Linked DNA regions of Diceros bicornis minor. The protein of the gene in region 1 interacts with the protein of each later gene in a biochemical or structural test. Links are inferred from orthologs where the notes say so. Each region holds a gene or a part of one and is shown on either strand. Other genes may lie near its edges.

What was found.
Region 2: the proteins of KLKB1 (region 1) and KNG1 form a complex in vitro, tested with the Homo sapiens proteins (4 studies listed by BioGRID). The link is inferred for Diceros bicornis minor from reciprocal best matches to the Homo sapiens genes KLKB1 and KNG1.

Annotation. Positions count from the first base shown.
Region 1 is NC_080768.1:17,717,477-17,733,473, reverse strand, and holds the start of KLKB1 (plasma kallikrein), read right to left. Parts: upstream 8,026-15,997; coding exon 7,920-8,025; intron 3,685-7,919; coding exon 3,522-3,684; intron 2,163-3,521; coding exon 2,056-2,162; intron 1-2,055. Other genes in the region: cytochrome P450 4V2, read right to left, coding at 13,386-13,558, 14,865-15,044, 15,138-15,272. UniProt on the Homo sapiens protein: Participates in the surface-dependent activation of blood coagulation. Activates, in a reciprocal reaction, coagulation factor XII/F12 after binding to negatively charged surfaces.
Region 2 is NC_080754.1:37,315,311-37,331,793, forward strand, and holds the start of KNG1 (kininogen-1), read right to left. Parts: upstream 8,659-16,483; 5' UTR 8,547-8,658; coding exon 8,355-8,546; intron 5,846-8,354; coding exon 5,735-5,845; intron 4,736-5,734; coding exon 4,651-4,735; intron 1,171-4,650; coding exon 998-1,170; intron 1-997. Other genes in the region: HRG (histidine-rich glycoprotein), read right to left, coding at 12,352-13,272, 14,363-14,464, 16,271-16,351. UniProt on the Homo sapiens protein: Kininogens are inhibitors of thiol proteases.

The DNA.
Region 1 (15,997 bases):
TAAACAAGGCAATAATAACGAGGACCCTAATGACGTGTGCGGAGGTTTGCATTATTAAACAAACGGAGGTGTCTTCGACCTCTTGCGTGGAGTGAAGGAGCTTCTCATCTCTTTGCTTGTTTCTCAACTTTCAACTACTCCTGTCTGATTGCGACTTGCATCTGTAAGCCCCGTCATTGACATCTATGTGTCAAATCATTATCATAAAATGTGGAGAGTTCTTGTAGATGCATGATGAAGCCATTTCCATTCTTGCTTTAGAATTTTGTTAAATTCCACTTAAGCATCCTTTCAATTGAAATTTGTCTTATATACAAAAAATATAGGTAATTCTTTTAACAGACAATGAACCAAATTAATGAGTTAGGCTCTTTGTCTTAAAGACTCAAATTTGTTAGTTAGACCCTTGGCTAAGGATACTAGCAATATAAACCATAATCTATTGTATGTAATTTTCCAATCCTAAGAGGTATGGTTTAAGGAGTCAGAAAACTAGATTTAATGGTGAGAATTACAGAAAATATGCAAACTAGTAGGAAAACAACGTATTGAGGTGGGCAGGGCTGTAGATTATTCATGGTGGTTCATGCTCACAGGAATTTGCTGATTATAGAAATGGAATCTCTTTCCCTTTCTGCTGCACATGAGAAAAAGAAACAGGCTAAGAGTTGGGCTGGGATACTTAGAAACTAAAACGTTTCTTTATGGTTAGTTGAAAGCTATAAACCTACCCCTAAATGTTTTAAACCAAAATCGGTCCTGAGTTAAGAGACTTTACATGCCTGGAAGCAATAGTTCACTTTAATTTCACTTTAATGTAAGATATTTGGGGAGAGCTAGAAGAGAACATTAAATCAAGTTCTGTGAGTAGACTAAGTTTTGGGGGAAAAAATAACTAAGGTGTAATGAGAAAGGCACAATATTATTTTTTCTTTAAATTTTACTATGATGCCACAATTGAAACTAATGCTTAATTGAATAATTTACACTAAATTTTATTAAGATATAAATTTGATCTTATAAAATAGAAAATGTACTCCTTCCTAGGTAAATTACATATTGGCTAAGCCAGGTCCCCCTGTTTATCACCAAGGACTGGTTACTATACAAACTGCAGGCACGAAGTGTGTGTATGTATTGAGGGAGTGGTGTTAATGGGACAGGAAAGGATGAAAAATTTTAAAAACATCTGAAATTTAATCCTACAAAATTAACTGTATATAGTAAGGGTAAAATAACAATGATGTATAGTGATAACATGGTTATTTTAAGGTTCTGCCAACCCATCAATTGAGAGAATCTTTTCCGTACTTTTTACTCTCAGATCAGTCACATTAGAGAAATAGTTCATTTGCCTTAAATTTATTAGAATAGGGTTGGAAATTGTTTCTCAAGACGTTAATAGCAATAAGTGTCAGGATTAAAGTTTCCTGGCCTCCTAATCCTCATATATTTTTAAGTATTATTCTTCGCAAGATTTACAAAGCCCAGTCCTTCAGCATGGGAGTTTAACAGGATTTCTTAACCTCTGCACTCCTGACATATGGGACTAGAAAATCTTTGTTGTGGGGGCTTCCCTGTGCCTTGTGGAACATTTAGTGGCATCTCTGACCTCTATCCACTCGATGCCAGTAGCATCCCCCCAAGTTGTGACAACCAAGTGTCTCAGGCATTGACAAGTGCCCCCTGGTGGAAGGACAAAATCACCCCTGTTTGAGAACCACTGGTGTACAAATCACCTTCAAGTGAAACAGAAAGAGAGAACTCTCTGTGTTCTCTTTAAGATTCTTATCTGGAATCAAGGGGAGACTATTGTTTAGATGGGTATTCACTTTCTGCAAATCTTACCTGTAGTGCTACCCTCATAAATAATAAAGGCTCCTTAAGTGAGTGTTGATTGATAAAAACAAGAGGATATGTCCAGAATATTGCCCCATCTCTGTTCTTTCTGAGGGCTCCCTTCCAAAAGTCCATGACAGTACAGAGTTTGAGCAGAAGCTTTTCTAAGGCAGACTCCTCGTTCATTCAACTTTAGCTAAGAAATCCACATCTTACCGCTTATTTTATGTCCACATTGCTTCAAGGAATGTCCAGAAATTGCATTTTTCCGTGACATTTTTGGCAGCGTTCCCGTAACACTGTCTTTCATGAAGCAACCAAACCTGTTTTTAAAAGTAGCTTCACTTAGGAAGTGAAATAAACACACATTGAGGAAACATCTAGCATTTTTTATGCACTAATAAATATAGGCGGGAATAAGGAAAATAATACAGCTTCCCTGACATTTGCCGGAAAGAACATTCTTAGAGGCTATTCCATAATATCTAACGGTCTTTCAGTATTGTTTTCCTATACATTCACATTTTTAAGTACAGGAAGTCAATCATATTAAAGAGTTAGTGATTTTTCCTGTGTTCCTAAACTTTTGGGGAATTTATGTTCCTACTTGGTGATTGTTTTCATAAATACTTTCACTTACTTATGAAATTAAATCAGTCATGAGAGTGGATCTATATATGATGTCCATCTCGTTCACTAACTCCTTCTAGTCCACACCTAATGGAAGACTTCTTTCTGTCTTTCATGTCAACCTCAGTGGTAATTTCATTATTCACAAGGATTCTAGAACCTAACTCACCTTTTTCCTTAAAAAGTTGACATCTCTCACATACAATCTGGGTTTTCTGTACAAGTTTACCATGTAGAATCAAGGGATGGTTATCTAATTCCTAGTTTTCAAATTCAAATAGAGTGAAGATAAAAGAAAAGAATTGTGGATATAGAAATGGAACAATGAAGAAACACTCATTCTGGATATTGATCAAAATTAAAGAAAATGAAACTATGGCTGTATTTAGGCAACTCTATGACCTAATAAGATTTTTCATTGCCAATTATTTTTCCAGTGCTCTTCCTTTTCCAAATTACCAGTTAATAGTCTATATTCACAAGTGCACACACACGTGCACGCACATCACGCATATCATAGGTGCTCAAATTGGCTCACTGTAGGCACCATTCAGACCTGCCCTCTCTCAGCATCATAAGCTCTGGATCTTACTCAATCATATTCTCAACAAAATGCTTACCTTCTATTATATTTTCTTTGGACTGTGCTACCCACAAATGTGATCATGAGTCAGACAACAACTATGCTTCCTTGTTCAGGTGAAATATTCACTTGTTTTTAGACCTTTTCTTGAGACAATCTCTTAACCCAATGATTTTCTAGCATTTTCCTTGAGGCCTTGGATAGAAAATGACTATCTTTTACTACTTTAAGTGAATGCAGATATTTTTTAAATGCAGATTTCCAATCCCAAGAGTCTTTCGTTCAATAGGTCTGGGCTTCCACCTAAGGATCTGCTTATGTAAGAACTACTCCAGGTGATTCTGATGAAGCTGGTCCTTTAACCCCATTTGAGAAACATAACCCTGCGATATGCTACACTTTTTTGCACACAACTGATTCCATTTTGAAAAATGACTAGCTTCTCCAATAATGAAATATCAACTTTTACCTTTTGTTTGCATCATTGGTTGAATTTGCAGGAAGAAAACTGAACAGCAAACACCTAGGATGGAACGTGCACATCATCTGACAGTGTTGGGCACTCGGGGTGAAAATAGCAGTTACATCCCCACCTTTGAAGAAGGTGTTTTCATATAGTTGAGTCAGGCATCCTATGATGTCATCATTGAAAAAAAAGACATTAATTTGGGAGGAATGCAAATAATAATTTACATTATCAGAAAAGTGTCTGTGTTCTGAACCTTTTTACTTCCTCCATGGAATACCCAAAGATCTTTATGACAAGACCTTAATTATACAGGCAGAATGAAACATATTAAGGTGACTATTTGAACAATGTATGATGCTCAAGTCATTTTATGGGTACTTCTATATAAAAAAAAAACTTGGTTGATTTTTATTAAATCATACAATAATTTGCACACAAATTATCCCCAAGAAAATGAAATCCTAGGGCCGGCCCTGTGGCTTAGTGGTTAAGTCCTCGCGCTCCCCTGCTGACGGCCCAGGTTCGGATCCCGGGCATGCACTGACGCACCGCTTCTCCAACCATGCTGAGGCCGCGTCCCACATGCAGAAACTAGAAGGATGTGCAACTATGACATACAACTATCTACTGGGGCTTTGGGGAAATAAAAAAAAAAGGAGGAGGATTGGCAATAGATGTTAGCTCAGAGCCGGTCTTCCTCAGCAAAAAAAAAAAAAAAAAAAAGAGGAGGATTAGCATGGATGTTAGCTCAGGGCTGATCTTCCTCACGAAAAAAACAAAAAAACAACAAAAAAAGAAAATGCAATCCTAGCTTGGTTTCTCCCTGTTGCCTAACATGCAATGAAAATATCATGCCTTAAAAATAATGATGTGTGATCTATTTTTCAAAACACTTTCATAACAAGCATCCCCACCAGATTCTCACAACAGCTCTGTAAGGGAATCTGGAGACAGTCTTTATTATATATATCTGACTTTTTTTTTTAGGAAAGAAGTTAGGTAACTCAGTCTCATGGCAGCACACACTTGCCCAAGATCCACATGGCCGGTGAATGTCCTGGAACATAAACCCAGCTCTTCTGACTCCCCGTCTTGTTCCGTTTCCTAGTGTGCAACGTTGTTCCTCATCTCAGTTGAATGCAAGCAAACTAACAGTTATTGGTATTTATTACTTTAGGAATGAGTGCAGAGAAACAAGTATTCTCTCAATTTCTACAAGCTCATTTTTCAGACAGCTTAAGCAAAGGCATGCATACACCAAATTGAAGATACATTCTGAACTACATATTTGCTGTCTGGAATTGTTCATAGCTCTAAAGTACCCAGCATCCTACATATTATTAGAGTGTTAAGTGTTACCTTTACTGTTATACTGAATTTGAGTTAACCTTGAGAGACTCACTTCAAAGTCTGCTTAATAAGCTTTTCCAACTCAGATAACACATTCGCTTTACTCGGTCAACTGCCCGTTAATCACAGGATATTGCAATGGCAACCTCATCCATGCCCTAGGGCAGTAGTGCCACTCCAATTTTAATAATACCTATTTTTGTATTGCCTTTCAGAGAATGGGCAGCTTGGATACGTGTATTTCATTAAGCCCTGTTGATTAAAACTTCCTCTGAACTATTCCACCCCTCTGGGGATTTTGGCCCTGAGCCCTCTTATGATGACCCAGCCCAGCAAGATTGCTTGTCCTTCTCTCAAAGGTGTGGCTAAGATGACTAACCCTTGGGTAAGGTTTATATTTGGAAAGAGCAGAGACCTCTTCAGGTGGAAGCTTCTGGGAATACAAGTTGCCAGGTACACAGGCCTACATTTCATAAACACACAACATACCGAGTACCTGGTCCGGTGACAAGGCTAGCTGCAAAGTGGCTTGTGTTTTAGACAACCGGTGTTTTTGGCTGATTCGTGATGATCAAGCAGCCATCCTCCCCCACCTCAATTCACAGACATGGGTACAAACAATGGCTGGGGCTAGCCTGGGAGTTCCCATTCTGCAACTGAGCCTTGATGAACTGCCATGTGATTCAGCCCAGGAGAGGAGTAACTAGAAATACAGCAACTTTGGAGCAGACTGGAAAGAAAGTTCTAATAGGTGTTCTTGCTTAACCTCATAAGCTGGTACTAATGATGATGATGATGGTGATGATGATAGGCTTGTTTGTATTGTATTCTAGAGTATATGGAAAACACTGTGACATAAGTTATCTCATAACATAAAATATGCTATATCATGTCACACAAGTCCTTATGTCCATGGACCTTGGCAAGTTATTCAGTCTTGTTAAAAAGATCATATAATCAATAAAGAGAAGAAAAGGAATCTAATTTTTTAAAATTGGGCGAAGAATATGAAAAGGTAATTTGCAAAAGAAATAGAAGCAACTAATAAGCATATGAAAAATGCTAAGAATCATAAACACAGGCAAGTTAAAATTTAAAATTATCTAAATTACCAGTGTCGATGTACTGATTTTCATTGCAAATAACAAAAAAAAAACCTAGTTCAAAGTGACTTGAATACAAATGAAATGTATTGGTTCAAAGCCAAAGAGCTGGGGGTGGATCTGGCTTCAGAAATAACTGGACACAGTGCTCAGCGGATCCCATCAAGACACAATTTTCCTTCATACATTTGCTCTATTCCATGGGGTTGCCTTTCTCTCAAGCTCCATGTAGTGGAAAGACAGTGCCCGAAGCTCAGGTCTCAGCATTCTGTCATAGTTCGAGTTCACTTGAAAAAAAACAATAAAAGAGTCTTATTTCTAGAAGTGTAAGCAAAAGTCTTATTGCAAGGCTTTGGCTCTGATGAGGTCAATGCAGCCAGCAAGATGTGTGCCTTACTTACTGGTTCAAGCCTGCCTGGGTCACAACCACATGGACCAAAACTGGGAGGCAGCTGTTTCTCAGAAATAAATTAGGATACTGTTTCCAGAAAGGTGAATATATGCCAGGCTACAAAATAATAAGTGACTATTGAGTTGGCCTAGGTGGGGTAAATGATCACTCTCATCTACTAGTGGAAAAAGTCAACTTGGAAATTACCTTTTTGGAAGATAATTTCATGTTGTATGTCATAAAACCTTCAAAAATATTCACACCTTTGTATCTAGTATTTTTATTTCCAAAATTTTATTCCACAGAAATAATTCAATATGTGTGTAAGAATGTGCATGCAAAAATACCATGCATAGGGAAGAATACTAAGCTCCAAAAAATATGATATATATTTATTTGCATGAAAAGGTAGCTTTAAATGGGAAACGTTATAAAAAAAGTATCTATAATTAATAATATCTTTGTTACTTGTGTACATCGATATGTGTAGAAAAATATCTGAAAGACTAAACAAAAGATTTTTAACAATGGCCATTTCTGTATTATAGGACTACAGAAAATATGTAGTTTCTCATTTTCTGCTTATTTGCACCTCTAATTTTCCTAGTGTGATCATGAAATTTTTTTTTGGCCAAAAGAATAAAATTGAAGTAGCCATGGTCCACAGCATCTCTGGCTTCTACTTCTCAGCATTCAATGGATTTGTAAATGGTAATGATTCTGGCGCAGAAGAGCAATTAGGAATGAGACGACAGATGGAGGGGAGTTGCAGTTTAGGGAAAAAAAAAAAAAAGGCTTCTTCCTGAAGAAATTGTATCTCTTTACCAATGTAACCCTTACCCAAGAGGTGTTTCTCTTAGCCATACATCTGAGAGGTAAGTAAACAATCATTGTGATGTGGCCATCTTAAGTCAACATAGACTCGGAAGCCACCCATAACGGTGACACGGAGAAAACTCCACTCTGCAATGATTAACGAAAAAGAGTGTCCAGAATCCTCCTTATTCTCTGAAAATTTGATGGAATGGATAGACAGAGAAATACGATCAAAACCTGTTGTTGAAACTAGAACTATTCAAATGGATGACTTCCAAATTAAATTGAAACCAGGTATTTTTATTTCTGAAATGGTTCCCAGTGGCCTAAAAGAGTAAAAATATATGCTTTGTACCTATCACTACACTTGGGTTAGACCCAGACAATATAAAATGCCTAGCACTCTTTTGAATATTCAGATAAAGCTGATTTTTTTTTTAATGTTGATAATAAAAATGGAGCGCCGATTGTTTCAGGATCTGCTTTGTACAGAGCCACTTCCAAACAGAAGTTTCTGGTAACACATGCCTGAAGACATTCTCATTTCTGGGGTCTTCCCCCTGGTGTGTCTAGGGCGATGCATCTGAGAAGTGGTTGTTGCCTCCAAACATTAAAAGGATGTGTATCCTGCCTCCTTCCCAAGGCTGTATGTTCAATAGCTTTCTCCACGGGTGGCATGCCTTGCTTAACTCTCTTCCACACACCCTTAACTTTATGTTTTGTAGATAATCCACTCACCACAGGAAACTGTAGCAAACAAGCAAATGAAATAAGCTGCTTGCCTGAAGGAAATCATCCTAAAAGAGAAAGCACTGCATGAATAACTCTGCTGGTTATAGATCATATTTAGCATGAACTTTAATTTAAGATGATAGAGATTTTCTTGTAAATGTCTGAATTGCAAATCTAAGCACACAATTACCAATTCTAAGAACAAGGGTTTTCTGTACATTTTGTGCCCAGGGGCTTGGCACCAGCTATAAATTGAGACCTCTAGACTGTTATTATGTTTGTTGTTCATAAGCCACCTGTATTGTCAGTAATTGGTTGAGAGGGATTAAACAGCTGTAAAACCTCTAGATTTGAGCAAAAAAAAATTATCGTAAATAATGGCAGTGACATCGGTCCAGAATCCCTAAGTAAAAAAAAGCTTTGAAACCATTGAAGCTCATTTTAAATTTTTAAATGAGTTAATATTCTCTTTGCTTTTAAAATATATTACACACAAATATTTCCACACGTAAGAACATAATTTTTTCCACACTTTCTAAATATGCAAGAAATTAGAACATAAATTAATCCTTCTTCATAAAGTAAAAACTATACTTAATTTTTTAAAAAAACACGCTATTTGGAAGAAATCAGAATAACAGAAATTCTCTACCTGAAAGCACAATTGCTTCCGTGATTCTGGACAGAAGAGTCTCTTGCCACTTAAAAATGGACGATCTTCAAGCTTTCCTAATGTGGCACCACAGGCACTGTTTGCTTGGCTCTGATATTGACTTTGGTTTTCTGCCAACAGTTTCAACTTTTTGTCCTCTCAACATAGTCTATGAACATTCCATTCCTGTGTTCAGCTATTTAATATACTAACTATTTCACATTAGGGCCATACAATTCATCCACAGGTTTCCATTTTTTTAAAGGTTCATAATATTCCCAGTTATTTGGGGTCATGCAAATTAAATCTCATCTCACTGGACTTTTTCCATTATAATCACCAAGATGCACAACTGAATAAAGTCGGGGTATGGATAGTTTACCCTGGAAGGATCTTCTGTCCAATAGTATCTATGCCCTCCTATACCACAGACAAAGAATCTTGCAACATGGAAATTTTAAGTATGGAAGGGAGTTGGTTGATGTTTAGGTCCTCCTCCCACCCAATTCAGAAACTATGATGTAGCAGGGGTTGACAACCACAGTCCACAGACCAAATCTGGCACTGTTTACAAAAACAGCGCCTGTTTTTGTAAATAAACTTTTATTGAAACACAGCCATGCCCATTCATTCATGTATTATCTATGCTTGTTTTCACCTACAACTACAGAGATGAAATAGTTGTGACAGAGACAGTGTGGCCTGCAAAGCTGAAAAGATTTACCATCTGGCCCTTTTCAGACAAAGTAGGCTGAAATTTGCTGTATAGCACTCCTGGCATAGATACTTAGACTGGAAAGAAACATACTGATTTTCCCAGGAGCCTGTTCCTGCTCAGGGAGTTCTATTTTGTTTTTAAGAAAAAGCCTTTCTATATACTGAAATAGACCTCCTTGCAACTCTATCCTTCAGTCCTAGATGAATTTACTAGATCCACACAAAATAATTTATTCTTTTTGTGCTTTTTCAAATAGTTAGAGACCATAATCATTTGCCCACTAAATCTCCTTTGTTTTCGAACCATTCTTCAAAATTGTGATACATTGTTCTGGCTAGCAAATTCGATTTTTAGGGAGTTGATTTTTAAATATTTAACGCACGTTACTGCACTGCGGAACTATTTTTATTAAAAATGTAGGATAATGTTGTCAATAAAATATTTTTTGACCGTAATGAAGTAACATATTTCAAATATGCCTGCTGTACTGCCTTTTAGATTCAGAGTATCGACTGGTGCAGCAGCAGTCAACAAAAGGCAGTCCTCTGCCCTGTGCAGTATACAAGAATTTAAATTTTGCATCTCATCTGCTACCAGCCTTGACAGGAAAAAAAGATGACTGAGATGAAACTACCCTGCCTCCAAATCATGGCAGAAACGCTCAGAGATTGTTTCCCTAAAAGGTGAGATTACAGATTTTAACCTATTTAAACATACTTCTGTGTTTTGTTTGAATTTTTCTTACAGTGAAACCATAAGTTATGTTCTAGCAATACACTAAAACTAAAAATTTCCTTGTGGAATCAGAAGAACTAAATCAGAATTAAGTTGAAAACAAGCAGTGGTAGGCAGAATTCTAAAATACTCCCCAAGATTTCCCTCTCTAATCCAGGGGACTGAAGAAAATGAGATACCCTGTCTTTCCATGATTATGTTATGTTACACAACAAAAGCAATTTTGCAGATGTAATTAAGGTTACTAAACAGTTGACTTTGAGCTACTCAAAATGGAGATTATCTGGGTGGACCTGATCTCATCACAGGGGCCCTTAAAAACAGAGTTTCCTGGGGCCAGCCCGGTGGCATAGTGGTTAAGTTTGCAAGCTCCGCTTTGGCAGCACAGGGTTCACAGGTTCAGATCCCGGGTGTGGACCAATGCACCACCTGTCAAGCCATGCTGTGGCAGGCGTCCTACATAAAATATAGGAAGATGGGCACAGATGTTAGCTCAGGGCCAATCTTCCTCACCAAAAAAAAAAAAAAAAACCCAGAGTTTCTTTCTGCTGTTACATAAGGAGAAGTCAGAGAGATTCAAAGTGTGAGAGGGATTTGACAGCAGGCAAGCTCTCCATTGCTGGCTTTGAGATGGGTAGAGCCTGGGACAAGGATCTGCAGTGGCCTCTAGGAGAGAGGTTTCTGGCCAGGAGCCAGAAAGAAAATGGAGAATTCAGTCCGACAACCACAAGGAGCCGATTACTTCCAACAAACTGAATGCACTTGGAAGAAGATTCTTCCCCACAACCTCCACACCTTGATTTTGGGCTTGTGAGATAGATACTAAACAGAGAACCCAGCTAAGCCCACCTACTGACCTACAGAACAGTGAAATAATAAATTAGTGTTGTTTTAAACTGCTAAAGATTGTAATAATTTGTTAGGCAGCAAAAAAACACTAGGATAGAAGGTAACATTTATCTGAAGTGACAGTGGCCTGGAGAGAGGGGTTTGGAGCTGGACACTTCTGAGGTGAGGGAACGAATGAGAGTCCCTAATGGAGCCTGGGAGCTTGGGTGGGAGGATGTGCCACAGGCAGGGCAGAGATCCGGGAGCTTTAAGAGAACCTGCGGTTTTCAAAAAAAAGGAAAAAGCCCTGATTCTCTGATGAAGCTGCTGTGTGGCCAGGAGATGGGCCCACCAGGAAAGAAACAGATGAACAAAAGCTATATTGTACTGCCCATTAAGGAGCGAATGCCAGTTCACTGAGAAAGGTCTTTGGTGGTGCCTTTATGACCATGAAGGATTTCTGCTGTTTGCATCTCTAGATCATTAAATGTCCCTAAGAAGGGTAACACTTGAGGCTCTGCTCTTTCCAGTGCATCTCAGTGAGAATTATAGTGTTATATCTAGAATACCACTAAAATTATTTATATTTCAAACTGACATCAATTCTTAGCAAAAAACTAGCACCCATATTGAAAATGTAATTTATTTTTCTTGAGATACCTCTTTCGAGCAGGTGTAGGACACGTAATAGGGAAACAAAAAGATATTTGATCATCCTCTTATTAAAAAAAAATCAACATCTGCATTTCAATACTATACACCATGACATAATTTCTCAATTCCAACTCTGACATGGTTTTAAGTGAATTTCCAATTAAAACATGAATAACCAATTATTCTGGTGCTAAATGAAAATCTTAGGCCAAAAGGGAACATTAAGCAATCTTTTAATTTAAATTTAATTTCACATCTCGTGTAGGGTCACTTCAAAAAAAAGGCAAGGTTTTAATGTTCACGCATAAAATTGAGAAATAACACCGATTTCCATGAATAAAACTTTAATTGTCCAAAGTCATCTGGGAACAAGATTTTCTACATATATACACTTTCTGGGTAACAAAGTTAACCACATGAGGGGAATCTTTTTCAACTGCAACATACACTTCCCTTACTTTTTCTCATCAACTTAGGGACTGGGTTGTCTTCACTGGGTTGGGATCTTTGGGTAAAGTGGGTTGAGCTACTGACCCCGTCCTAAATGTCCCAGCCTGTAGTGTTTGCCAAATGGCTTTGGTTTTATAACCTCTTCCTTTGATATCCATTGAAGAATACATATTCCATCCTCTTAATTTGTTGCTTGCATCTACTATAGCCTTGGGAAAATTGAACAAACAATTTTATCAAATTATTTATTAAAAGAATTTTTTTAAGTCACTGATTGAAGAAGTAGAGATATTGCCTATAGAAGTAAAATTTAGGGAATGTCTATCAGTTATCAGCTTGATAGGTGTTTTCTGAAGGACTGAATTTACTGGAAGCCTAATTCTAAACTAAGTGAGATATTACTGGGTTACTAAATATAGATGCATGGCTTCTCTTTTCCTTTAGATGGAAGAATTCTAGAAGAAATACGCCAAAATCAGAGGCAGAAAATCTGTGTTCTAATGACACATCTAGAGATAGACCTGAGTACCATAAAGCAATAGTATATTATAATAGAAGTGTGTCATATTGGGAGTGGAGAGATTTAGAGTGTAGACTGCTATTCATTTCCAGCCCTGTCACCCACGAGTGGCATAACGTTGCGCAGAATCTTACCTTCTCATTGATCTCATTCCCTCACTTCTAATAAAAAGGGAGTATAACTAGATAAGCTCCAAGGTCCTTTGAGCTCCAAAAGCCATTAATCAGCCCCCTGAAGCACTGTGAGGGACTGGAGATTACCAAGAGGAATCTCTCCCCATAGTATATTACATATAAAGGTAATTGTGATGCTATAAAAAATAAAATGAAGGCTCTAAGTATACAGTCAAAAGGGAAACAGGAACAGAACCTATGAATCAACTTATAAATGATCAACTCTAGGTGATAAAATCTGAAAAGTACCACAATAATTACTCTCATAACTGATGCCACTGATATAATTTAAAAAACTTAACCTCCTTAAGTCTTAGTCCTTAATTAATCACCCTTTTCACATTAAATGTATATGTATATATGCATATATATGTTCCTGAGCCAAGAAGAATACCTTACAAAAATTCTGGAACCTCAATTAAATCATATCCTTTGGGTCTGTCAATTGAAATTGAATTAGCCTGTGGATCCCTCTGTTGAGACACTTGTTATATGTTTATTTGGGTGCTGTCATCAGTTAACTGTACTTCTGGGATCAAGATCAGGGGTAAGACCTATGGTGGTGAAGAAAACATAAAAACTCTCTCCCTGGTAGACTTGAACCCGATGTAAGTGGGGACAAGAGAAAACTAGGTCTAGGGATTAAGAGTGCTGAACTCACGATCTCTAAATTGTAAATGCAAAGTTTCCCTTAAAGAAAGACTTTTTTCATGATAAGCGCATGATAAGTCCAATAATATGGTTAGGATCCATCCACGTTCCGCCTCTTCAACTTGATCCAGATGCCATTACTTGGACGGAGAATCAGCTCTCCTGCCAGGCCAAGTTCTTCTCTTTTCTGGTTGGATTCTACCCAAAAATGCCTCAGGACGCAGGAAAGAATGATCTTTTCTTCCATCAGGGCAAATTTTTGACCTTCAAGTTAATGGAAATACCACCACTTTAATTACAGAGATATCTCAAATGTGAGAAAGTACAGGTTCTATTAGAGGAAGCAAGCAATTTTGTATTTTCACAGTAGGCCCTGGAAGAATCAAAATCACGTGGGATACTTATTAAAAATGAAGATTCTTGGGTGCCCTTCCCCACTCCCAGCCAGAGCCTCTGAATAGCTGCGGTGGGCGAGGAATCTGTATTTTAGCAGTACCCCAGATGACTCCTGGGCTCCTTGAAGCATGAAAGCCACTACTCTGGCTTGATTTCTTATTGGGCCTTTAATTTAATTTACTATAAAGTCACCAAATATGCTTCAGATTCACTCACTTAAATCTGACCTCATTTTACTAATACCTGTATTTACATAAATGATAAAATGCTAAAGATACTAAAGTCAGAAGTGCTTATAATGCATGGTGACGTGCATTCATTTTGTTTAAGTACTTCAGCTGGCCTTATGGGAAGCATTCTTTGTTTTGGTTTTGCAAAATGCAATACGTAAAAGCAACAAACACAGAAATTAGGTTAAATATAACTAATCGTCATAAAGAAATTTTCTACCATATAAAATATATTCTACTTTAATCCAAAATCTACAACATTTATTTATTTATTTTGCTGAGGAAGATTCTCCCTGAGCTAACATCTGTTGCGAATCCTCCTCTTTTTGTATGTGAGCTACCACCACAACATGGGCACTGATGAGTGGTGTAGGTCTGCGCCTGGGAACCGAACCTGGGCCGCTGAACTTAACTACTAGGCCACCAGTAGTGGTGGCCCAAAAATCTACATTTTTAAACCCTACCATGAAACTGATTATGCTTTACATTATGGGTTGAATTGTGTCCCTGAAAATTCATATGTTGAAGTTCTAAACCCCAGTACCTCAGAATGTAACTATTTGGAGATAGGGCCTTTAAAGAGGCAATTGAATTAAAATGACGTCATATGGATGGACCCTAATCCAATCTGACTAGTGTCCTTATAAAAAGAAGAGATTCGGACACAGACACACACAGAGGAAAGACCATGTGGAGATACAGGAGGAGATGAGTCTGTGGTACTTTGTTATGGCAGCCCTAGGAAACTACTATACTTTATGACAGTCATATTTGAAAACAATAATGGATAGTGGAGGAAATAATATAATATAGAGCGGAGGAAAAAGGGAACCAGTTTTTTAAAAGACTGTTGCATATGGCAGACTATACCTTAAACAAATTATTGTGGGAAACCCACTACCATGTGATTCTGAAAGGTCAAAACAATTCTGATGGATACAAACCTATACAGTTTCTGGGTCCAGCAGAGAAGGGCACATATGCATATGGATGGCGTTCTTGTGAGTTCTCAGGAAAGAACCGTTCTGGCTTGAATTCTTCAGGATCTGGAAAGTATCTCGGGTCTCTATGCAGTGCATAGGAAACGATGATTGCCTGAGAGCCTTTCACAATTCTGTAACCTGCTGTCAAGAAGTAGACAACATGCCATGAGAATGGAGCAAGACAGACATTTAAAAAATCCACTCTCCCTATTATTCTGATTATAGAATTCTTACCAACTTCACAATCTTCATTAAGACTACGGGCAAATAAAGGAACAGAGGGGAAAAGGCGAAGGGTCTCCTTCATAACACATTCCAGATATTTAAGCTTCTTCAGGTCTTCCAAGGTAGCAGGACGATCAGACTTCCCTGATTAAAGTAAATAAGTGAGATGAAAATGTAAGAACTATTTGGGCTGGGGGTGGGGGGGCTGATATCAAAGAAGAGTACATTAATCAAAACACTGAATGTTAACTACCTACAGCTAAAGTAGAATTTCTAACAGTATACATAATCGAAGTAAAATGAGACAATATGCTAAGTAAAAGAAACCAGACACAAAAGTCACATATTGTCTGATTCCATTTATAGGAAATACTCAAAATAGGCAAATTCCTAGAGACAGAAAACAAATTAGAAGTTGCCAGGGGCTGGGAGAAGACAGAATGGGGAGTGGCTGGTTCATGCTACAAGGTTTCTTTTCTGGGTGAAAATATTTTGGAATTAGATAGAGGTAACAGTTGCACAACATTATGAATGTACTCAATTGTACAATTTGAAATGGTTAATTTTGAGTTCTCAGAGCTTCTTCCAGACGTGCATCTTCTCTTGGGTCAGATTCTTGAACTTTCCCCACAGTATGCCTCCCAAATGCCCTTCGCTCCCACCTCAAACAAAGAAACCAAGACTGCCTTTGCCCACAGGCCGGAGGAGACATCCACCTCTCTGGACTTGCCGAACGGAGAAAAAGAACAGCAAGAAGCAACAGAAAATAATGATTAAGCACAAAATGAAATAGACAGACTTACCGAACAAGCCAGTCAGGAGATTTTGCAAGGAGAACAGAAATATAACAAACTCTACCAAGCATTTTT
Region 2 (16,483 bases), on another chromosome or scaffold:
GTAGTAGGCAAAAGTCATTACTGAAGAAATGTTGAGCACTTTCTGACTCTCACATCCCTCAACACAACACACACACACACGCACTCCTACACACCTGAAAATGAAAAACAATATATAGATGGAGTTACTGTATTTCCTTAAGTAAGACCTAGCGATATTTCCTTGGCTAGGCAGCAGAAAAAAAAAATGTTCTATTGAATTTTGTGAAATATTAATAATGCTCTTGTAGATGGATAAAGAAAACTTTGGAGCTGGAGTGGCCTTTACTGGTAAGATCTCAGGTTCCCAGACTGCCAGGCAATAAGATTTCTGCCGCTTGATCCTGGGCTAGTCCCACCCTGCTAGCTGGATGTGGACGTATCTGAGTGGAACATGCAGCTTGCGTGAAGGCCGGTTGGAAGGTCTATTAAAAGCAGGGAGTGTTACCGACCAAAGTGAGCCCCTCATAAATAGGGGCTGAAACACAAGGAACCAGTCAACTCTCAGCAAAGGCTTTGTGAACTGAAGGAATGAAAAGACCAGATTTCTTTCTTTTTCTGATGATATGGAAACTGTAATTTAGAGGGTACCCAGAAAGCTGTGCCAACCTTTCTAGCACAATTTAACATTTTGGAGCCAAGTTTGACTCATGATAGCTAGGTGATATAGTTTTCTTAAAATCTTAATTAAGGCCAGAATGACTTTTCCATCTCACCATCTCTAGGAAGAACATGCAATGCTGACTACCCGCTCATTAGAAACAAATCTCACAGGAAGGGGGTCTGAGCGGCCCCCGTTTTTCCCTTTACATATTGCAGTGTCTGAATCACTGGCTAGAGAGAAAGCCCTTTGCCTCCGATGCTAGTCATACGAGACCAGAGGAGAGCTCCTCACCACCCCGTCATGGAATCATACGTTTTCCTTCGGCCAATGGTTTACTTTAGGTAATGAAACCCTAAATATAAAGATCTAACACGTTTTAACAATACCATGCAAAATGAAAAATTAAAGAACAAACCTGTCTTTGAGCTTTTTTTACTTCTCTAAGAGCAAAGAGGTGGGAATGACCCGTGTTGTTGTTAAAATATTGCACAGCATGTCTCAGAACGGGTTCCAAGTCGGGGCTTGCAGTTGATATGGGGTGCAGGCAGCCAAGGCATTCGTACTGGGCTGTCACCACAGGGCCCTCGGCTTGACAAAGAGCAGGCAAAGAGGCAGCGTTAAGGAGCGAAACCCGCTTTCAGATACATTGCCCTAAATGAGCAAGATAATTTAGAAGGCCATCATAAACAAACTTTCCAGTAAATCCTAGTATGCATTAGGAAAAGAACGTAAGACCACTTTTTAGTCAGAGAAAAACACTGATCATTACTTAGGAACATCTTACATGCATACTATTGTGCATGATTATTTTAAATTTATTTAAAAGTCATTTCAAATTATAGAAGTAATACATGAATTTATCCTCTTATAAAAAGTAAAACAGTATAGATATATTATTATTTACTTTTCAGTGCTAATTAAAGTTCCTTGAAGCCTGGCTCAGGGGATAACACGTTTTGTATCAATTCAATCCAAGAAACATTGTATTTTGCACCTACTGTAATATGCCAGGTACTGGGCTAGGCCACGTGGGCACATTAATAACAGCCACTGCCGTGAAGGGTTGGGCAAAGTCTAGTGGGAGAGACAGACTTGCAGATGGATCATTTCAATATAATGCGACAAGAGCTTGGAAAGCCGGGAGCCTGGAGTGAGCTCAGGGAAGAATTTCCTGAGGAGACGAGGCCTGAGCTAAGAAGAGAGAAGAGTGGTCCAGGACAACCTGGCAACATGAGGTGTGAGGTCTAAGGAGGAGGAACGGATGGCTCCCGAGAAAGCAGGATGAGGCAGGGACAGCAGTGTGGAAGGCGGTGCATACACATTTTGCCAGAGCTTAAAGAGGGAGGCAGGGAGGGGTGACTGAGGTCTGAACAGTCGGTAGAGAGAGTCCTCTGCTGTTGAGCCTGGGCCCCACCCTGGATGCCTGGTGTCGCTAACTATACTTCAAGGGCCATGTACTCCTGGGTGGAGCTGATGAAAGCTATGGTGCCCTCCCCAGGGAAATGCGCATTCACAACGTTCTCCACGTAGTTTCAGGGTGTTCATAGACCCTCTGAAGTGATTTAAGAATGGTCTGCTGTAAGAAAGGGGAGCCACTGAAGGGGTTTTATTTACTTATTTTTCTCGTGAGGAAGAGTGTCCCTGAGCTAACACCTGTTGCCAATTTTCCTCTTTTTGCTTGAGGAAGAGTGGTCCTGAGCTAACATCTGTGCCCATCTTCCTCCATTTTGCACGTGGGTCACCACCACAGCATCGCTTGATGGGTAGTGTAGGTCTGTGCCTGGGATCCAAACCCAAGAACCCCGGCTGCTGAAGCGGAGCACACTGAACTTAACCACTACACCGCCAGGCCAGCCCTGAAGGGGTTTTAATAAAACCATGTAAAATATTAAAAAAGAAGTGAGTTTATATTAAATTACCAAGTAATGTTCATAACAGATAGCCCTCACCCGCTGGTCGGGAGAGGCACAGGCTGCCAGACAGGGAAGGTAGTGAAGGAGTCCTGGGCCCCTTCCCCCAGGGGTTTTGCTGCCCGAGTGTGTAAGATCCACACAGAATGAGGGGGCCAATAGTGTTCTATACACTGTCCCTCAGTTTTGCAGGTCAACACGGCTGCACTTGCAACTCCTTTCTGGCTTTCTCTCCGTAAGTGTGTGTGTCAGGAAAAAGATTTGCTAGGTGAATATTCACAGCTTTTCCCCTCCTCTCCCTGCAGAAGTTATGTTGAACCAGGCTAACAGGCAAAGTCAAAAACATGGAGGGTTACATGGGAAAGGAGGAGAATTACTGATGGAAGAACCAAAAAAAAAAAGATGAACACAGGAGGGGCCAGCCTGTGGTGCAGCAGTTAAGTTTGCGCACTCCACTTCTGCGGCCCAGGGTTCGCTGGTTCCGATCCTGGGTGTGGACATACTCACAGCCCATCAAGCCATGCTGAGGTGGCGTCCCACATAGAGCAACTAGAAGGATCTACAACTATGACATGCAACTATCTACTGGGGCCTTGGGGAGGAAAAAAAAAGAAAAAGAGGAAGATTGGCAACAGATGTTAGCATGGAGCCAATCTTCCTCAAAAAAAAAAAAAAAAGATGGAACACAGGAGGTGAAAGATGAGATGGAGGAAAGACCAGAGTCTCGTTTGCCTGACCTCCAGGGCAGCTCTGACCGGGGCTAAGAGAAGAGATGAAGCAGTCTTTTGAGGGTGAGGGGAGGAGGGTGATGGAAAGTCAGTTTTTCTGGGTGACAGAATGATTTTTCACCCTGCTCCAACATTTCTAGAGGGATGATTTTTAATTAAAACAAAGATTTAAAATGTCAAATTCTGAAACACATCTGGCCAAATCTGGGTTTCAGATAAGGGATTGTGGACCTCGTAGTAATTTCTGAAAATATGGCAAAGGGCTTTTCCTCTCGTAGTGTAGAAGTGCTGTGTTCTGGATACTGTTAAAATCTGCTTATGAGATAGAGTTATTAAACTGAATAATGAAAAGCTACTCCAAAAATTTTTTTTAAATTACTTGTGATTTCTTTTCCACTTTTCTTCGACTACAACTTCTTGCAAGAACTGGAACTCAAGGGATATAGTTTTTGTGGGCTCTATACGGATGACGAAGGCCAGAATGGAACAACTGCCACTACGGTGAGGTTCAATAGTGTGACTGAGATGCTCTTATGGAGCCTCATGTACTAAAACCCTACCTTGCAGAAGGCCAGTTCTGGGACGGCTTTTATGATTGACATCACCTAGATGTGCCCATTCTTCTGTAACTGGCACCTCTGCCACAAAAGGGAAGGAGCTAATAGTGCTTATAGTTGGTGATAAGTTGCTCCATACTTTATTCTAAAGGAATTTTGTTTATTGAGGGTCTGCTATACCAACTCTGCTAATTATTTGCTGTGGGATCTTGGGTCAGATACTTAACTGCTGTGGGCCTCAGTTTCCTCATCTGTAAAATGGGGATATTAATACTTTCTTCATAGAGTTGTTGTGAGGATTAAATAAGTTAATACATGGAAAGTGATCAGAATGTGGCTGGCAATAAGAGCTTAATAAATGTTAGCTAGGATTACTTTCATCCTGATCATCATTCACACATTATGATGATTGTACCCTCAGGCATATCATCTAGTTTCAGTCTATAACAATCCCATGAAGTGGGAATTACTGTTATCCTCTTTGATAGATAAGGAAGAGGAAAGCCAAGCAGGTGAGGAGCTTTGAAAGATTCCAGGCCAGGTCCGACCTCAAAGCCCGTGCTTTCCTCACTCTAGGATGCTGCCTCCAATCAAGGCAGTTTTTGCATCTACTCACCTTTGCAGGGCCCTTGCACACACCTAATACAATGCTGCACTCGAGGAAGAGAGTCAGGATAGGGCTGAGGGGATGACTGGCACAAGCCTGGCCCCAACCTCCGGACTCTGCGGCTCCACCCTCCCAGCCCCCCGCCCCCAAGGCTGCAAATGGCACCCCTATGGCTGCCCTCTGGGAGGGGACTTGGTCTGGGTTGTGTTCCTGGCACACAGAAATGATTCATTTTTTCCCCTCCAGCCACCGGATGGATCAGCTACCTGGAGTAATCTGGCAGGTTTGGGTAGCCACGGAGAACCTCATATCCTCACTCTTCCTTATGGTCGCTGTGCATTCTCCTGTGGCCTAAAAAGAAAAAACCGGAGACCATTTACCTTAATCTTTCAGGGGGAGAAGTCCACCTAATACTCTTGCTAAATATGGTTTTCCTTTTTTTTTTAAATTGTCAAGGTTTTTTCTAACAGAGTTTTGAGACACAAGAATGAATGTTTTTGTAGCCTAATGATTATTTTTTAGAATCCATTGATATTTGGGAGATGTTGGAGGAAGGGCAGTATAAATGGTGAGGTTTTAAAGCGTGAGTCTTTGTTTTGAGCCCTGAACATATTTCTTTTTCACCAAAATGTACACAACGCCTTAGGACCAGCCTGCCAAACTCTTCTCTTGATTTACCTGTCAATTTCAGTGTTCAAACTGCGTACACATGCCGGTGTTTTGACATTAAAGAGGTGATTCCATGGACTGTGAAACATGTGGCTTGCTTCCTGGCAGATACCACCTACAATCTCCCTTAATTAAGGCGAGACAACCAGCTGTGGTGTGCCAGGCACATGTTAGGCATCTGGTTAAGATAGCCACTGTTATTAAAACAAGGTCCTTTGCATAATGGATCATTTCATTCTCCAACAACCTCATCTCCTGATGAGGTCAATTTTAAGTCCCTGTTATAAGAGAGCACAGGGTTCCCAGTGGTCAGCTAGTTGGAGGCAGATGAGGATTTGTACTCAGGCCTGTTCAATTGAAGCACTACACTCTCCCCTCACCAGCCTCGATCTCAGCCCAAATGCTGATCTGTTGTCTCTCTGGGGCCTGGTCCACATGTCCCAACTGGTCATTAGAGTCCCCTTCTTATGGGTGGGCTTACTTCATGTTTAACCACTGGCTTCTCCACGCCTTTTCTCTCTATGCAGAATACATCAAGCATTTGACTTGTCTACACATTTGAGGGTTTATGTGCATCCCTCACAAACAGACTCAGCAATATTAATCACCCCAAAAGCACCAGTAGAATAATCTAGCAGGCTCGGAGAAAATTGGAGGCTCAGGAACTGTCAACATACTTACAGCTTGCTCAGAATCTTTGTAGTCGCAATCCTGCCAGGTTGTGCCATTTCCAACAGGACAATCACCCTCCTTGATTTGGTACTTGAAGGAATAAAATGTGTCAGGGTCATCCTGAAAAAAAGCAACCAAAGATACGTAGGGTTCATCCAACTGACCCAACAGAAAATCATTGGAGTGGGATCTGGTGCAGTTATGAATATTTGATCTTGATTTGATTCAATTAAGGCAAAACATTTATTAAAAATCCTGAAAGTTATAAATATTTACTTGGAAGAATGTTCATAATATATTTACAAATACATATATTTTAAGTTACAAAGTAGTATACATAGTATTAGCCCATTTTTAAGGAAACCAATTTATATGTAAATGTATGATTTTTAAAAGTCTGGAAAATTATGCAGCAAAGCTGTTAAAATGTGTGTCTCTCAGTGGTGGGAGTACAGTTGTCTTTCACTTCTTTATACCAACATTCCAGAATTGTCTATTCTTTTTAACAAACATATATCGTTTTTACAATTAGAAAACAAAGAAAAAGAGAGCTTTATTCATTTTTGAAAAAAATGTTAACAGTTGTTTCTGGACAGTGGGGATAATTATGGGTAGTTTTAGTATTTTTATTTGCTTTGTTTGTTTTCTATTTATTCTAGCATGTCATGAAATAATATACAAAACTCTTAAAGTGCGAAGGTGCTGACTTAGATGAGCTTTCAGATGCAAAATCCTGGCATGTCGAGCAGCAAGGGACCTGAGAGGCGATGCTGTCCAGCCCCTCACTTTGCAGGTGAAAGAAAGGAGGCCCCGAGTAGATAGGGCACGGCTTAGGCAGCCTCCCCACCTTGGAAAGGCAGAGCCAGCCCCAGATCACAGGTCTCCTGACTCCCGAGGCAGTGCTCTCTTAGAGCCTGCGTGGGTCACAGTATTTGCATCCGAGAAATGATGGTGTCAAACAAGGTAGTCTCTGAGGTTCCTTCTAGGTCTCAGATTTTGATAAAGCAGTAGGTGATAGTGGTATAGGTGGTGCCTACATGGCAAAAGCAAAGATAAAGAGTGATTCTCCAGACCTTTTAGAACAAAAACCACATTTGCCATGGATGTCAGCCAATAAAGACAACAACAACAAACTGTGGCTTGACAGCACGAGGACTCACATGACCACACTAGTTTGTGAAACAGAATGGCTCCATTTTACTTTCAGAAAAAAAAAAAAAAAACATGTCCACTGGGCTTCTTTCTTTATCCTCATCATGTCAAATGGGGGGATTTTTTTCTCTACCAAAGTAAACAATTGCTTAACTATCACAGAGATAACAGTGTTTTACAGCGAAATTCATTTAAACAAACTGTTGAAAGATTAGTATTTCTTGAAATCACACATCCTATCAAGATTTGTCTCCAACAGGAGTGCATCAGTCAGCGAAAAAAATATTAAAAACCAACTAGAACATTGCTGTCACCTTTGATGCATTCAGCTGTGCAGACTTCACAGTAGATATTTTGTTTGATGCAGTAGAACCATGGTAATCTCACTTCTGACTCCTCTTAGATGTACCCCCCTCCCTTTCCCCTAGCTTTATTGAGGTATAATTGACAAATAAACATTGCATGTATTTAAAGTGTACAACTTGATGATTTGATATATGTATACAATGTGAAATGATTACCACAAGCAAGCTAATTAACACATCCATCACCTCACATAGTTGTGTTTTTTATATGTGTGGTGAGAACATTTAAGATATAGTCTTTCAGCAATTTTGAGTATACGATACAGTATTATTTTTATTTTTTTTTAAATATTTATTTATTTATTTTCCCCCAAAGCACCAGTAGATAGTTGTATGTCGTAGTTGCACAGCCTTCTAGTTGCTGCATGTGGGACGCGGCCTCAGCATGGCGGGAGAAGCGGTGCGTCGGTGCGCGCCCGGGATCAGAACCCGGGCCGCCAGCAGCGGAGCGCGTGCACTTAACCGCTAAGCCACGGGGCCGGGCCCAGTATTATTAACTATAGTCACCATGCAGTACATCAGATCCCCAGGACTTATTCATCTTATAACTGGAAGTTTGTACCCTTTGACCAACATCTCCCCATTTCCCTCACCTCCCAGCTCCTGGCAACCACCATTCTACTTTCTGTTTCTGTGAGTTCAACTTTTTTAGGTTCCACATATAAGCGAGATAATGCAATATTTGTTAGACGTGCCCCCTTAAGCACCCCTTCCCCACCCTAGCTCTGGAGGTCTTTATATTTCAATCTAGGGCCAGTCACCCAGTAAATCCTCTTGCTGCAGCCTGACTGAGTTCCTGGATTCTCCCACTCTGCATAGTCTCTTTCAAATTACTCCATCTACCCTTGTTTCATTTCACCTTGGGATACTGCTCCTCTGATCTCCCAGGCTGCTAACCTTGGTGGCCCAACCACTAGTCATACCGTGCCCTCCACCCCCAGGCCGGAGAGTGGTGTCAGTCTTTTATAAGAGCTGTAAGCTTCTTCCTTTAATTATCAGTTCTTTGGTGATTGGCGTGTGCGTGTGTGTGTGTGTGTGTGTTTGTGTGAGGTCCGGGCTCTGAGCGACAGCACAAATCCCAAATGACCTCAAGGTTCAACCAGCCCACTCACCGTCTTGGTGACCTCCATGACGCGGTACAACACAAACTGGTAGCCACTTTGTTTCCCATTGTTATATTTCTTCAGAGCCGTGTCCACAGCCTTAAATACATCCTCATCATTGCAGTCGATTTCTTGCAAGGACTCCTGGGTTACACTTAGTAGCAGCCTGGAGCAAAGGAAAATGATGGCAATTAATTTCATGACTTAACAGTCTCCCTTTGGGAGTTTCACCAAGAATTGGGAGCCAACTTGAATGCTGATTTTAGCGATCTCCAGCCTCTTATCTCCTCTGCGCTCCACTCTCTGCCTCAGCGCTCTGGGGCACTGGTTGGATTCCTGCTGCCGTACACTATTTGCCCTATTCCAAAAGGACAAATGGCTCTGCTGGGTTATCCAAGAAGATTTCAGGCTGGACTATTACAACACAGGGGTCAGTGACCTGCTTGTTTGCATTTGAGAAGCATGTGGGTGCACAGAGCACATTTCCAGGTGATTGCACAACTTTGTATAGCAAATCAGAGCAGACTCTAATAAAGGAGGAGAAAAAAAAACACCAACCACCTCTGTCATTGCCTTGTGACTTTCCCAAAGTCATTTACAAAGGTCACTACAAGTGACAACAATGCAACAATGAGTACCATGTGCAGACACCTTTCAATAAAATTCCTTTGCAGGATGTCTAGCTGCAGAGAAGCAGGCTGCTACCAATCATATTGCATGCCTGGGGAGCCCATGCACAGGGACACAGTGAGTCCTGTGAGTCCTACACCAGGACACTGGTGCAACTAAAAATAAAATATGGGCGTCCTATCTGGTCTCTGGCCAGGCCAGTTTCTTTCCACTCAACTGTATTAGTTCTAGAAAGGAAAATGCTCCCCAGGGTAGAGGAGACAGGGGAGAAGCATAAGAGATGGGTTGAGTGAAGCCCCTTATCCTCTGTCCTTGCTTCTTGTTTCTGGTTTGGTGGATATGAGTGTCTTTCACTCATCAAGCCTAAGCAACTTTTCTGATCAAGTTAGACTGTTCGGGGAGAGGAGGTCTAGGGTAGCCCTTAGTAGATGTTTGCCCTCAAGTCTAACCATCCCTCTCCTGCAAAAAAAGACGTTTGACTGCTTTGTTGTTGTTGATAGAGTCTCTTGCTTTGCCATTCAGTCTCCCTGAAAGCCCCTGGAAAAGAGGGATCACTGTGGGCTAAATGGTGGCCTTATAGTGGAGTGGCAGAAACATGAGCTTGCCAGTAAATCCAACCTGGATTCCAATCTAGCTGTGCTAATTAATTGCTATGTGATCCTGAGCAAGTCAGGGTCATGTAACCTCTCTGCTTACAGTTTCCTCATCTGTAAAATGCAGAAAGTCATAATGTCTCATCAGGGTTTTTTGAGGAGTGAATGAGATAATATATGTGCAGGGCCTGTTAATTAGTCCTCATAAATTATATCTAAACTTAGAGTGGGATGGTTAATCTGCAACTTACTAAAGCAGTTTCAGGTCATGGTGATGGCAAAAGGTAGATTCCAGTGTGAGTTCAGGGAGGTGGAGGGCTGAGTATAGGGGGGAAAAAACACAAGGGTGGAAAAGACTTGGGTAAATTCTTAGGCTGGGAAGAAGGAGGGGCCCGCAAAGACGGGGAAGCTGAATCTGGGAGAGTGAGGGCCTGACTGACAGTGCACGGTGCAGACGGAGGCGGAAAGGAACACAAAGCTGATCATGGTGGGCGTTTCAAGTGAAGACTCAGAAACAGGACTTGGCAGTGTGTATAGGCAGGATAATCAACAGGAAAGAAAATGACCTGGGAGGAGGCCAATCTGGGTTCTAATCCCACAATTTACTAATTCTAACAAACATTCATATACTTTTTAGCTGTCACGTAGCAAAAAAATCTAGAAAAGGAGCAATCAATGGTATGTTGTCGCAACCTCTAGTACAATGTAAGCTCCCCAGAGTAGGAATTGTTTCTGACTCTGTTATTCACTTGAGGCAACTGTGTTTGCATATTACGAACGCATTTAATTGTAATGAATTGAGAGCCTTCAATCCTATATTTTCCAGGTAATATTTTCAATAACTCAAGCAATGTTTGTGAAAATACTTTATAAATTATAAAGCACTACTCAAATGCTTCTGTGACTTATTAACCTAAGTATTTTTTTGGTCTTCCCAGATTTCACCTTTCGCGGTTCCCTGTTCAAGGAGTCAACCCTGTATTCATGTGGAGGAATGTGAGTCTGCAGGGCGACATTCAGCTGGTGCCACTCTGGTTGTTTATGGCTGGCGACTGTCCTGACTGGTTGTTGTATCTGGTCTGATGGGTCAATGCTTGTGACATATTGGTTATTAAATATTTGGAGTGTCATCATCATGGCTCCAGGAAATGAAGTCTAGCCATACTCCAAAGAGGAAAGGGAAATGGGCCTCCACCGTCATCATTTTTTAGAGAAGGAAAATGAGGCCCAAAGAGGCTTAGTAACCTTCTTAGGATCTGATAGTCAGTAAATTGTGGGACTGGGATTAGAATCCAGATCGGCCTCCTCCCAATCATATTCTTTCCTGTTTATTATCCTGCCTATATACACTGCCAAGTCCTGTTTCTGAGTCTTCACTTGAAACACTCGCCGGGATCAGCCTTGCATTCCTTTCCAACTCCTTCTGGACCGTGCACCATCAATCACATCCTAACTTCCCCAGGTTTAACTTCTCCATCTTTCTGGACCCCTCCTTCTTCCCAGCCTAAGAACTTATCCAAGTCTTTCTCACCCTTAGTTTTTTCTCTACCCACGCCCCCCACCCCGGAGCCCCGCCCCACTAAAATCCACCTTCTGCCATCACCACACATCTGAAACTGCTTCAGTAAATCAGCTAGAGAGAACCTGAAGTCTTTTTAGACTGTGTCTGAATGCTTGAGCCCTGATTTGGGAAGAAGGGAAAATAAAGAGGATTAAGGTGTAGAAAAAGAGTCCTCTAGCATCAAAAATGAATAAAGAGAAGTTATCTGAGACTAGAGAGCCCCTAGTCTGGGAAGAAGAGATGAAAACAGAGGAGTCTGGGGGTCCCGAAGCAGAGGACACCTCTGCCCTGCTTTCTGGACATGTAGCATGGAAGGCAGATGATCTCGGGGAGAGAAGAGCTATATGGTATCTCTTGGCAGTCACATCCGTGAGCAGTTTTACAGGGACTCATATATCCCCAGTTTGATACATAAGTAGCAGATAAACTAGACCCAAAGAGCGATGTGAACAGGGTAGTAAGCAGGGGGCCCTTGTGGACCAGTGATGAAGAATCAGACCTCCTTCTTGTGCCCGCCACCAAACACCCTGGCACTGTGTGAGAGTCTAGAACTGTGACATAATTTTGTGTGGGGAGTAGCAGGGTGGGGGAACTCCAAGAAGGACTGAGAGTGAGTTTCCCGTTAGCCCAGTAGGATGGCAACCTGAAATAGAAATTAATTTGTTCCTAAAATAAAGCGATATTTCCTGTGCACCTGAATTTGTGGTCATGATTCATGCCTACAACCTTCTTTGCAATTTATAACCCAACTTTTTTTGCCTCATAATTGAATTTAGAACTGATTTTTCAGAAAGGAAATTTGGAGGACTAGAAATAACAAGTAGGAGAGAATATGGATCACTTTTATAAGAATAATCTTTAAGTGATAATATATACCTTCTTGTTATGCCCAGCTACAGTATAAGTACTAATAGAGGAAATACTCTAGAACTAAGAGTTAAGTCCAGGAAAGAAAGAAATTCTGAGGCTCAGAGATTTGCCTCAAGAGATGTAGTGGCCAGTGAGAGAATTATCTTCTGACTTGTATCACTGAGATCTTTTCTCTCCTTTCCATTTGTCTCTCTCTTCTCATGCCATCTCCTCCCCTACCCACATTTTGCCATATCCTGAGTATGAAAAAAGGTTAAAATAACTTCTAATTTTGCATTTATTACTGGTCACATTTTATTTATGGTTCTAATTCAGAACATTATTCATTTTTACCCATCAAGGAAATCAGATTTTATTTTGGAATAGTAGATGCAAAAAACTCTGAGACTTGTAGAAACTCACTCTTAAACTTCCCTGGACATGATTCAGAGGCTGATTGAAGGAAGGGCTGAATCTCTGGCTTTAGAGGATCCTTGTGGTGTGGCAATGAGAAGCTGGGAAAATTGGCTTCAGGAAGAGGAAGAACTTCACCTTTCTTTAGTGGAGGGAGTCGGTAAACATATCCAATTTGTCTCCAATGGAAGGGAAAGTGTCCTTTACCTGGACCTCTTCCTTCTGGGTGCCTAGGTGGGGGGCCATGGCCCCAGTGAGGTGGTGGGTCACAGGGTCCATGGTCATAGAAACCATGGCCATGGGGATGGTGTCCATGGTGATGGTGTCCGTGATGAGGGTGTCCATGGGGAGGGTGTCCATGAGGAGGGGGTCCATGGGGAGGGGGTCCATGGGGAGGGGGTCCATGGGGAGGGGGCCCATGAGGAGGGGGCCCATGGGGAGGGGGCCCATGAGGAGGGGGTCCATGAGGAGGATGTCCATGGGGAGGGGGTCCATGGGGAGGGGGTCCATGGGGAGGGGGTCCATGGGGAGGGGGTCCATGAGGAGGATGTCCATGGGGAGGGGGTCCATGGGGAGGGGGTCCATGAGGAGGGTGCTCGCCATGGTTATGAGGAGGTCCATCTGTCTCACTGGTGCCAAAATGGGGGTGATGACATTTTGACCCTGAAGGAGGCAATAGTGGAGGAGCTCCTGCTTGAACTGGTGGTCTGTCTGAGTAATCTTTGCCTTCAACAGGAGGTGGGCATCCAAGATCATGTGGATGGTTATCCCTGAATCCATTTGGCTTAAATGGAGGCTTGCCAGCAGGAGAATGCTCATGCCCACCAGAGTGGGGGGGATGGCCCAAATGGGGTCGTTTACCATGGATGTATCTATGTTCCTAGTAAAGGACACAGAAAAGTGAATATTATCATGCAACACAAAAGAAGTTAGATGTTTAACTTGATTTAGACCAATGGCTTCCAGACTTTTGGATTCCCCAAATCAATTTTAAAAGTACCAAAAAAGGGTTCTCAATTTTTATCTAGCCAAGTTGGCATTTAAAATACAGACAAAAACTATCACCTACCACCATCATTATATCACAAAAGGAATACTATTTTGACAACACAAGAGTCAGAAAGATAATCTCAGAGTAAAGGATGGTCCTTAGATGGAATAAATGTTATATTATGAAAAACTTTCTGTATTTTTCTCATTTCAAAATAAAGTGGTGAAACTATATTATGGAATAGCACTCATCTGTAGACCAACATTTGGAAAACTAGTGCCTTATAATTCGTATTCTCAACAGAGTCTGAGGCTTTGTGATATAAGCGTCTCTTATTTCTAAAGGTTGAGCACTTCACCCCTTCACTTTCCTCCTTGTTTAGATTTTAATATTTTAAAAAACCTAGGGAGCCGTGTTCATGGTGACAAAATTGATCCCTTTTTTTTTGGTTTGGCACATGGACGTTTGAATTATTTTAAGTTTTTTTGCTGATATAAAAAAATAATGTGAAGAATATTTTGGTATAGAACAAAGCTTTCTGGGACAGATGTAAAATGTTGTTTTGCATCTTATTTTATATACCTTTATAAAATAAATTTGGGGCTAATTCATTTCCCTTAGGTTCTAAGCCTAATAATAAAAGCTAAGAATTATGAAGTCGCAGCACTGGAGTCCTGACTACAAAGGCCATTTTCAAATTCATTAAAGGTTAGCTGGTCATGACTTTACTCTTCTGCAAAATCTTACCCCTCCTCAATTCTGGAAAAATTTTTATACTTTTTGTGTCACACTAGAAATTGCACTCCTTTCCCCAGGGTCCTACTGTCTGTATTTCTCCACCCACCCCATCTCATCTCTCTCTCTCTCTCCTTCTCTCTCTCTCACCCACACACAGAACCACAAGAACAAAATACACTATGTGTGTGAGAATATCACTTAGGCTGGCCTTGCTCATGAAAAGGCTACTTAGGTAACCTACCTCAAAATTGAAAACTTCACAGTTGACGACAATGTCTTCTGGGGTTTCCAAGTCAGAGACTCCTACCTCATAGGACAAAACTGCTCTGCAGAAACCAAAGACCTATAAAGAAAAGAGAAGCCTGTTAGTGTATGTATGTGTGTGTATGTGTGTGTGTGTGTGTGTGTGTGTGCATGCACAGGTGGTGTGAAGGTGCCCAGCTAGAGTTATGAACTTCCAGACATTTGGGAAAGGAGAAAAACTTTAGAAAAATCTGGGTAATATTATCAAATATCTCCACCAGTTATTTAACAACCTTTCCTAGTCAATACTATTGGGAAAGTGCAGGTTCCAAAGCGTTTCATTACAAGTTGCTGTGGTTCTCTTCCCCCAGTGACCACCAGCACCGGGCTTCCCCACGGATGGTAGTGAGGAATACCACGTCATTGATGCCTTGCCTTTAGGCCAACCCTTCTGCACTGAAGACCTGAGTTACCTGTGCCTAGAGAGAAGGAAGAGTGGTATAGGAGAGGATTTGCACAACTTTAACCCATTCTTTGGAGGAAAGTATTGGAAAGAAGGGAGCCAGTACAAAGAAGGTTTGCATGGACCCCATCAAAGTGACCATCAACTGGCCCTACTCTAAGTATAGGGGCTACAACTAGCTGGCAACCCTGTGCTCCAGAGGCCCCTAAACCCAGCTGTCAAAGTTAGACTAGGACAAGAAGAAAACTCTTTGCCAGAAGAGATTGTTAAGTGGTTCTGAGTACAGTTTTGGAGCCAGACAGACCTATGTTAATCCTCGCTTCACCATTTACTTGTTGTGTGACTTTAGGCAAGTTGAAATTTCTAAAATTTCTGAAACTCAATCTTTATCTGTAAAATGGGTGTAAAACTATCTGCCCACAGGTTGTGGGAGGACTTAATTAAATGAGATAATACTGTAAAACAGTTAGCACTGAGATGCCTCTTCTCCAGCAGCCATGTTTCTGCACTGGGTTTTCATTACCCGTGCAAAGATATTTAAGTGTTTTTTGGGGATGGGAAAGGGGGAGGGAGATGTCTTTTGTGGTAGCCACTAAGCAGGATCCTAGAACTGCTTCAGATTGAAAAGTTGAACAGCCCAAGAATGAACTAATGAATGCTTCCTCTCTTCCGACCCTGAAGAATGTGCTGTTAAACTTCAGAAAAGTCCTGGACTCGAAATCAGAAGGCCACCATTCAGATCCTGTGTTCTAACACTTTCTAGCTAAGTGCCCTTAGGCAAGTGGTAAAATGTCTAGGCCCTCCTGTCCCAGGGAAATGGGGGCAGACACTTGCTTCTCCTCAGGGGGGTTGTCACGGGGCTCCAACGAGGCAATAATGTATGTGAACGTGTTTTGTAAACTATCGCCATAAAAATGCTGAATATTATTAAGATCTTATTGCAGGTTCTTGAGTATCAATTTATAAATGATTAGGGGGAAAATTCCAGTGGGCTGAGAACAGGAGAGCTGAATTCTAATCTCAGCTTGGTTGTGAATATGGGCAAGACCCTTACTTTGCTGAGCCTCAGTTACCTCCCCATTTGTCACATGGGGTCACTGAGAGGAGTAAACAAGATGCAGTGAATGAAAGCACCCTTGGGTGTAGGTTCTTAATATAAGCTAGTTATCAGTTTTAGCAAAGTCTTTAATCCTAATGGGTTTAGAAACTTAGTTTTAAGTTTAGTTATATATCATGTATATTATAAAATCATATTCTCATGATTCACTTAACTTTTCTGTGCCTTAGTTTCCCCATCTGTAAATCAGGGATAAAAATAGTATCTACCTCATAGAGTGGTGGTGGAGTTAATAAGTTAACATAAGTGTAAAGCATTTATAAGTGTGCCTGGCACACAGTAAGCACTCTCTAAATGTCACTTAGTATTTCACAGACATTACTCACCTTAGAGGGTCTGGGAAAATGGTGAATGGAGCAGTTCCTCACAGAGAAGTCCACATAGTAATTGGTTCTTTCCCCTCCTCTCTGGAACAGATTGGATCAAAGCAGTTTCAGGAAGATGAAAAGTGCAAAAAAAAATTTTTTTAATTGATATCTACTATCTAATATACTGTAAAGTAATGTGAAGATTCAAAATCACCAATATGTGCCATTTTT